2 linked regions of the Cricetulus griseus genome follow. The protein of the gene in region 2 interacts with the protein of the main gene of each other region in a pairwise test. Links are inferred from orthologs where the notes say so. Each region holds a gene or a part of one and is shown on either strand. Other genes may lie near its edges.

The links.
Region 1: the proteins of E3 ubiquitin-protein ligase TRIM69 (region 2) and Fam110a interact in binary tests that used the Homo sapiens proteins (3 or more experiments, as listed by UniProt). The two-hybrid records come from large-scale screens. The link is inferred for Cricetulus griseus from reciprocal best matches to the Homo sapiens genes TRIM69 and FAM110A.

What each region holds. Positions count from the first base shown.
Region 1 is NC_048599.1:28,044,628-28,048,441, forward strand, and holds part of Fam110a (protein FAM110A), read left to right. Parts: intron 1-3,020; 5' UTR 3,021-3,096; coding exon 3,097-3,814.
Region 2 is NC_048599.1:56,256,946-56,261,365, forward strand, and holds the start of E3 ubiquitin-protein ligase TRIM69, read right to left. Parts: upstream 3,096-4,420; 5' UTR 2,735-3,095; coding exon 2,519-2,734; intron 1,684-2,518; coding exon 1,661-1,683; intron 1,577-1,660; coding exon 1,452-1,576; intron 1-1,451.

The sequences.
Region 1 (3,814 bases), about 28 Mb from region 2:
AGCCTGGTGGGCGGGAGGCGCACAGGCTGCAGGCAGGAGGCGGCTTGGGTAGCCAGGTATGTTGCGGTGCTGGGGAGGGGGGAGCGCAGCAGGGACTGTGGATTCAGTCCCCGTATTCGAAACAGACGTGGGCCAACTTCTGCTCAGAGAGGGACAGCAGATCATGGGGGTCACACAGCCTTTGCTCACCTCAAGGCTTGCCCCTAGAGTCTCTAGGATTTCTTCCAAGTGAGGAAGAACCGAAACCAAACTGGGGCCTTCCTGGTGGCCTGATCCGTTCTTTGGGAACCTGAAGGGAGGGACAAAGTCGGGTTCTGGAACTGTGACCAGAAAGGCTCAAGGTTTATGCATTTAGGGCCGTTTGCGGCAGCATTTGAAAACCCATGGTGAGAAGAGTCCCCAGAGGAGACGTTAAATCTCACTTGGCGACCCGGACCCAGGCTGCCTCTCTGAGAGGCCCCTGTGACGTGAGTTGGTGCGGGTCTGCTGGCTCATTGTGATCAGCCCCTGCCAGATGTCTCCTTTGTGTCTGCTGGGGCCTAGATCCGCCCTTCTGGATCGTGCTTAGAAGACTCTCGGAGGGGGCGGGTCTGCACACTCCACAGTCAGAGCCTCAGTATATGTCAGCCAACCTGGTTTATTTATGGAGCGCTGGCCATTTCCAGGTGCTACGAACCCGTTTGATCTTTCCAGCGGTGACCCGAAGGCACAGGGAAGTCTATTTTTAACTCCGGTGAACAGATAAGGGAACAACAGTCTGTTAAGAGCTGCCTCTTGTGCAAGGTGCAAGGCAGGGGCTGGTGGGAAAGTGGGCACCCAGGTGGTTACCAGGCCAAGTTTGGCAACAGGCACCTGTCCCCGCCCCCATCTTTACCTAGAGTTAGGTGGTGGGTATAGAAGCAAGGTGGTGGTGGCGGGGAGCTTCTGCCCTGGCCCTGCCCCTCTGACCTCCTTCCTTTTTCCCAGGTGATGTTTGGGAGGGACTGCCTCAACCACTACCAACGGGTTGGACTGGTTTGGGTGGCAGAGCAGACGTGGGGGGTTAGGGAGGTGGGGCAGAGTCTGGCAGGGCTCCGGAGCAGCTCTGCTGGCCAGACCTTTCCTGCCCAAGGTTACCTGGGGGGTCTACTTGAGTGGAGCCAGCCTTCCTTTCCTTCCTACTAGCCCCTTGAGACTTGAGAGCAGCCCTATCCCCAGCCCCCACACCACTACTGTACTGAGGTTTCCATGGGTGCTGGGGAAAGCAGGTATGTCTGCAGATATGCTATGCTTGCCTGGTACAGGTAGTCTTTTAAAAATGGGGATGGAATTTGCTCACAGTTACAGACCTAGAGAGCCCCTGCCCCTCTGGATCGCCAGCCCTGGGAACATTACACCCCTTACCTTGGACCCACCTGTCTGTAGTGGGTGAGGCTTCTCTAGCCCACTGTGGTGCTGGTTCTCAGCTGATCCCCCCCACCCAGGCCTTTCAGTTCAGGACACACTTGTGGACTATTTAGCATGTATTGAGAGCCACACCATGAAGCTGAGACCCAGTGAACAAAGCAGCCGAAACTTCTGCCCTCATGGAGCTGATACTTTAGGGAGTGGGGGACAACAAAGAGAGAACCATATCCACAGTAAGTTCTATGGGACCCATGGCTATAGTGAGAGAAGAAGCAGGTGTGTGTGTGTGTGTGTGTGTGTGTGTGTGTGTGTGGTGTGTGCGCGCGCGTGTGCCCATAGTGTGTGGAAAAGCTGTATGATGGGACTACCATTTTAATCTCCTCTGGGATCTAGGGAAGTCACTTCTCAGAGTCTCAGTTTTCCCTGCTACAAAATGGTGACAGTGGCTTCCAGGCTGTTGGAGATGATACGAGAGAGTGCGGCTTTGAGTGTCTGGCACACAATGGGGATCCCTGTTATGGGATGTCTGTATGTCTCGGTGATGCTTTTACTGTGTTTAGGCATGCTCTCGGTTTCAGTGCTGTCTAGCATAGTAGCCTCCATGCACCCATGGAGAACTTGAAGCATGGTTGGTATGATTCAGGAGCTAGTGGTGCTGGGTGACCTGAACTGCCAAGTGTCTGTAGCCCCCAGGCTAAGCCCCTCCCCCCTCTTTACAGATGAGAAAGTTTAACTTGGGTTTTACATTGCTACGTTTCTGAGGGGCTTGGGTGGTGGGGGAGAACTGTGGCACTTTCTAACCATGTTTTCTCGATGCCTGGGATGATCTTCTGTTGGACAAGTATGGGACTACATGAGCACCCAGGCATGAGCCTTACAGCCCATGCTCACCTTCATGGTAGTTGGTCAGCAGCATAGCTCTGGGTGGTGCTGTGACCTGGACAGTTCTTTGCACAGCATAGCTTGGGGCTGATGCTTACTCCTCTCTGCGTGCCTTGATCTCTGTGGGCTTGGCCTTGGAGCCATATCCTGGAAGCTACTTGGGCTCCACTAGGGTGGGGGTGTGGACTATCTTTCTGCTCCTCCCCTGCAGCCTCTGCTTTTGTGCCCTTTGTGGGCCTGGCATGTCCAGGCAGGAGTCTGGCACTGCGAGGCTTCCTGCCTGGGCTGGTTGTGGGATGTTGGTGGTATCTGGCTCCTCTGGGCAATTCAGGTGGGATGTGGATGGCGGTCATTCAACCCCAACTGCCTGGTCACTAGTACCTCCTATCTGGGGAGCAAGGGAAGGCTTAAGCAAGTTCATTGCCTCCCCGAGCTTCAGTTTCCCTATCCGTAAATGGGGCTGTTGAGAGGACCCTGGAGCTGAGCCTGGAGCCTTGAGCCTCCTTTGCTCTTTTTAAAACGGACCTGCCTTCTCAACCTCTTTCCTCCCTCCCTCAGCTGTGCGGGTCCCCGCCCACTATTGGAGGGAAAGGGTGTAGGTGGGGCCACAGGACTTCCAGTAGTACATTCTGCCTGATGATTGGCTCTTCGCGAGGCAGAGGCGTGCCCTCTACCTTATAATAGCTCAGGCTTCGCAGTCAGGCGAGCCTTTGTCTGAACGTGCTCAGCCTGTCTTCTTTCCTTGCTTGCAGCGGAGCCCGGCATCCAGCTGCCAACTTTGTGCCTGTATCTGTCTCCTCGCCTCGGCCCTCGGGGCATGTAACTGCCATGCCCGTGGACACGCTGAGCCCTGCAGCCCCTGCAGCTCCCACCCTACCTTTTCGCCTGCGAACCAAGGTCCCAAGCTACCTGCTACCAAGGCCAGCAGTTGCGGGAGCCCGGAAGCCGAGTGCTGTGGAACGCCTGGAGGCTGACAAGGCCAAGTACGTCAAAAGCCTTCATGTGGCCAACACCCGCCAGGAGCCTGTGCAGCCCCCGCTAGCCCGACAGCCCTTCTTCAGCGCTGCTCGTGGGCCAGTGCTCACACCCAGCCGCCGAGCCCTGCCCTGTCCTGGACGCAGGCCCCAGCTGGACGTTGACATCCTTACCAGTCTCATCAACCTGTGTGATAGTCCCGTGTCCCCAGCTGAGGCCAGCCGAACGCCTGGACGGGCAGAAGGATCTGCCCACAAGGTCCCACCAGCCACCCCTCCTCGTCCACCGCCTAGTACAGTCGCCGTGCGCCGAGTGGATGTTCGTCCCCTGCCTGCTTCACCTACTCGTCTGTGTCCATCGCCTGGCAACACTGCCACCTCTAGCCCAGGCCGGCCCCCTGGTCTGCAACGTTCCAAATCGGACCTGAGCGAGCGCTTTTTCAGGGCAGCAGCTGACCTCGAGCGCTTTTTTAATTTCTGTGGCCTGGATCCAGAGGAAGCACGAGGATTGGGGGTGGCTCACCTAGCAAGGGCCAGCTCGGATATTGTCTCTCTAGCCGGGCCGAGTGCTG
Region 2 (4,420 bases):
AAGTGAAATAAAGCAGATCAGCAAGCATTAAGGGCTAGAGCTATACAGAAAGAACTGATTGCAAAAAGACATCTGTGTGTGTGTGTGTGTGTGTGTGTGTGTGTGTGTGTGTGCATGTTTGTGTACACAGGTATGCCTATGCAGGTGCATGTGGAGACCAGAGGTCCACTTTGGGTGTCTCCTCAATCACTCTCCATCTTATTTTTTGAGACAGGTTTCTCACTGAAATCTGGAACTCACTCTTTCAACTGGACTGGCTGCCCAGCAAGCCTCCTAAGGTCTACATTTTTCCCCAACTCCATCCCCAGTGCCGGGTTACAGTTGTGTGCCACCATGCCTCACTTTTTACATAGGTGCAAGGGATTCAAACTCAGGTCCTTGTGTTTGTTCAGCAAGCACTTTATCCACTAAACCATCTCCCTGGCCCCCATCTATCTGTATCTTGCTCACAGAGATATTTACCTGTTTATTAAAACTAATCTGTTTATACACTGGGTATATATAATTATACTTCATTGAAGTTGTTTTCTTTCAGTGTTAGTCACCTGAAAATGTGACTGGGATATATTTATGATTTTAACTAAACCTAGTTAAAATCAATAACAAACAATAATAACATCTATAGGAATTTTGAGAAAGCTATCTAAACTTTTATTTCTATACACATCTTATCTAGAATATTATTTCTTTTTCTTTAAATACCACTTGTGTTATTTTGTCCTGTTCAGTCCTTTGATATTTATAAGAACACAAAAACATGCTTATTAGACTATCGACTGAAATTAGATAAGCTTTTCTTCTGAAGAATTGGTCTTTGTCGAAGCACTGTTGATCTCTAACACTCTCAGGATATTGTGCTCTATGCTATGACTGTCAAGCACTAAAAGACCTATAAAGACTAAATATATACAAGGAGTATGTATGGAAAATGCCTTCAGAGCAGAGACACTCCAGAGAATCATACAACTGATGCAGCAAAACAGGATAATATTGTGGCCATTTCTACACATGCTAGAGCAAACAAAAGCATGGGCTGAAGAGTGATTCTAATACTAGATTATCATGCATTGTTAGTTCAAAGACACATATTCTTAGATCATAGCAGCTGGAGAAAAAGAAAAAGTCTTTTTGACTAACTCCACCAAAGGGCTAGAGAGATGGCTCAGCAGTTAAGAACACTGGCTGCTCTTCCAGATGTCCTGAGTTCAATTCCCAGCAACCACGTGGTAGCTCACAACCATCTACAATGAGATTTGATGCCCTCTCTGCCATGCAGGAGTACATGCAGACAGAGCACTCATGTACATAAAATACAGAAATAAATCTTAAAACTCCACCCAAGTCCATTTTCATCCAGTCTTAAGCTAAAGAACTAACGGGACACAGCAGAGGCCCCACAGATGAAATGTAGATTAGGGGCCATAGGAATGAGTAGCTACTTCCCACTATACCTGGACAGAGAATGGACTGCATTTCCTTCCAGATCATATACTGGATGGGACCTTTGAAGCGGCCTGGGCTCAGCTTTTTGGAGATAAGCTGTCTGGGTGAGAGTGCCCTCATTCCTTTCTCCATGCTGTAAGGGACACAAATAGTTTATTTTTTAGACATCCTCCAGGGGCAGAAGGAAGGGGATAGAGTACCATGGAAAAGCACTTACCTATCTAAGAGCGTTGTGATGTCCTAAAGAGAAAAGGAGAAATAGAGCTGTCAGGTGTCTGTTTATCATCTCTAGAGATCTGTCTGGTTATTCTGATCACCATCCAGGTTTACTCATCAATCCTGGCTTTCTGTGCATGTGATCCTCAGTCCATCTCCAACAACAATTTTCATCCTCCACAGGCTTTCTCTAATGAGCACCCAATCTAACCCATGATAGCTGTCCTCTCATTTGCTAACCTACTGATTTCTATGATTCCAGCTCTTTAAGATATAGGAGAGGAGCCAGTAAATCGATAGTCAAGGTCAACTTTTCTTTTTTAAGTGAGCACTTCTAAATACTCCCACAAGAAAAGATTAGAAGCAGTTCCAGTGCCAAGGGTGACCAAACTTGTGAGTACTAAAGTGATCACCAGTGTTGTTTTAGAGGTGAGACTTCAGGTAGCAAAGTTTGACAGAAAGATTTTTAAATAGTTCTCTTTATGATTTCTGTAAGCCCCAAACTCAACAACGGCTATCAGATACATACTTTTTGAAAACTAACTGTAACTCCAGCTACAAGGTTCTTTATGGGAAAATAAAAATATTGATTCATATAACATTATTGATGAAATTGTACTAATCGTGTTTCATAGGAAGATGAAACACAGTTTTCTACTGAACATAGAACAAAAGCAGCTTCTCACAGAGGATCTTAAAGCACTGCAGTGGGTTGGGTTGTGGTGGGGTGGGGTGGGGTGGGGTGGGGTGGATTGGGTGGGGTTGAACTTGGTTAGGGTTTGCTTCCTTTCCCTCTACAAGTCCAGGCCCTCTTCCCTCCTTCACGTGTACCCATAATCAAATCGGTGTGGAATCTCACTTTGAGGAAGTTGAAGGAATTCTGTTCCATCCGTGCCTGAATGTTCATCAGCATGTCTTTGGCAAGAAGACACTGTTCCTGAAGCTGATTCAGATTCAGCTCCATCTCCTCATTCAAGACTTTCCCCTCATCCCGGAGTTCATTTAGAATGTCCTTTTCTTTGTTGTGCAGGAACTGATGCAGCTTTAGAAACTCCAAGGAAAGGTATTGTTGCATTTGTATCTTGTTGTCCTGGAAACCTCCATAATCATCACCACAATTACTACTGAGACTAGCACTTAGAAACAGGGGCTCGCATCCCACAACACACCTTGGAAATTTCCAAACAAATGGCTGCTTAGCATCAACATTCAATCCTACTAAACAGAGCTTATTCCTTCTTTCCTGGCTAGTTTAATGGTGTAAAAGGAAAGGTTTTGTTTTCAGTTTTTTCTCAGTGCTTGGATAATAAACAGTGCTCTATTAAATAATGTTTCAGAGTCGATCCAACATTCTAAAACAATTTTATTATTATTATTTGGTTTTTATTTTTTTGAGACAGGGTTTCTTTGTGTAGCCTTAGCTGTCCTGAAACTCACTCTGTATATCAGGCAGGCCTTGAACTCAGAGATCTGCCTGCCTGTGCCTCTGGAATGCTGGGATTAAAGGCACCTGACTAAACATTCTAAAATTAATACTAACAATAACCTTCCTAGATTGGCAAAACAGCATCTACCAAGTGATGTTGTTAAACTAGGGCCATAAGGAGCCTGGAGGAACTGTACTTTCAAAACCAGAGCTGCTCTTGCTGCCAGTACAACATAAAAGAAACAGGATATGAACAATGTGTAAAGTGCTAAATTGATAATTGTGATACTTGCAGCTTGTACATGTGAGGTGTGTGTGTGTGTGTGTGTGTGTGTGTGTGTGTGTGTCTACAGTTTCCTCCCTGGTGAACTCTATATATCCTGGCTTATCAGTTCCTTATTGTCTTCATTTATAATGGCTTACAGCTTTCTCCAATTATTCCCAATCACACATAGAATTATATCATTCCCAGAGAATGTATCATCTTCAAAATAACTGTTTTGCTCCAAGTTCACTTGCTCCTTACTGTAGCACTGTTGAATCTCAATGAAAGTTTGTATTCAACCTGGGCGTGGTGGTGCATGGCTCTAATCCCAGCTCTTGGTGGAGGGGGCAGGGGGCAAAAGCAGGCAGACCTCTATGAGTTTGAAGCTAGCCTGGTCTACATAGTGAGTTCCAGGACAGTGGCGCTACATGGAGAGACCCTGTCTCAAGAAAACAACAAAGTGAGTTTGTAATCATTGACCCCCTCTGTTTCTATTAATCAACTTCTACCTTCATGGCCTGTCTTATGTAACTTAGATTCCATGGATAATCATTATCATGCTCTTAACATAGTCTTAACTGTTCTTCTAACCAATGTGTTTCCAGTTTCCCTTTCACCTTTCTCAGGATTTCCCAGTATAATTGCTTCCACTACCTCTAACCACATTTATTTTAAATATTAAAATTAGTTAGTATTCTGTCCTAAGCTCATTCTATACTTTCTAGGCAGTATCTCCCTGGCCCCCTGCAGCTTTAAATTCCATCTAAATGCTGATAGCTTTTCTCCAGCTTTTGGGCTCCAGACTCCTCAACCCAAACCTGATACTACAAATCACTCCTCTTATCTAATAAATCACTACATCTATATAGTTTCCTCCCTATACCATTTGCCCTTGTTATCTCTGCATACGCTGCTCTTTAGTACAGTTAAGTGCCATTGTTCTTGGCATACTAACCTGCAATAGTTTTCTAACCATATCATCTTGTTTTTGTCTCTTTAACCTTTTTTTCACACAGTAATAAGACATTTTCAAAATGAGATAAAACTGTGTCTTGATTACAACTCTTTAT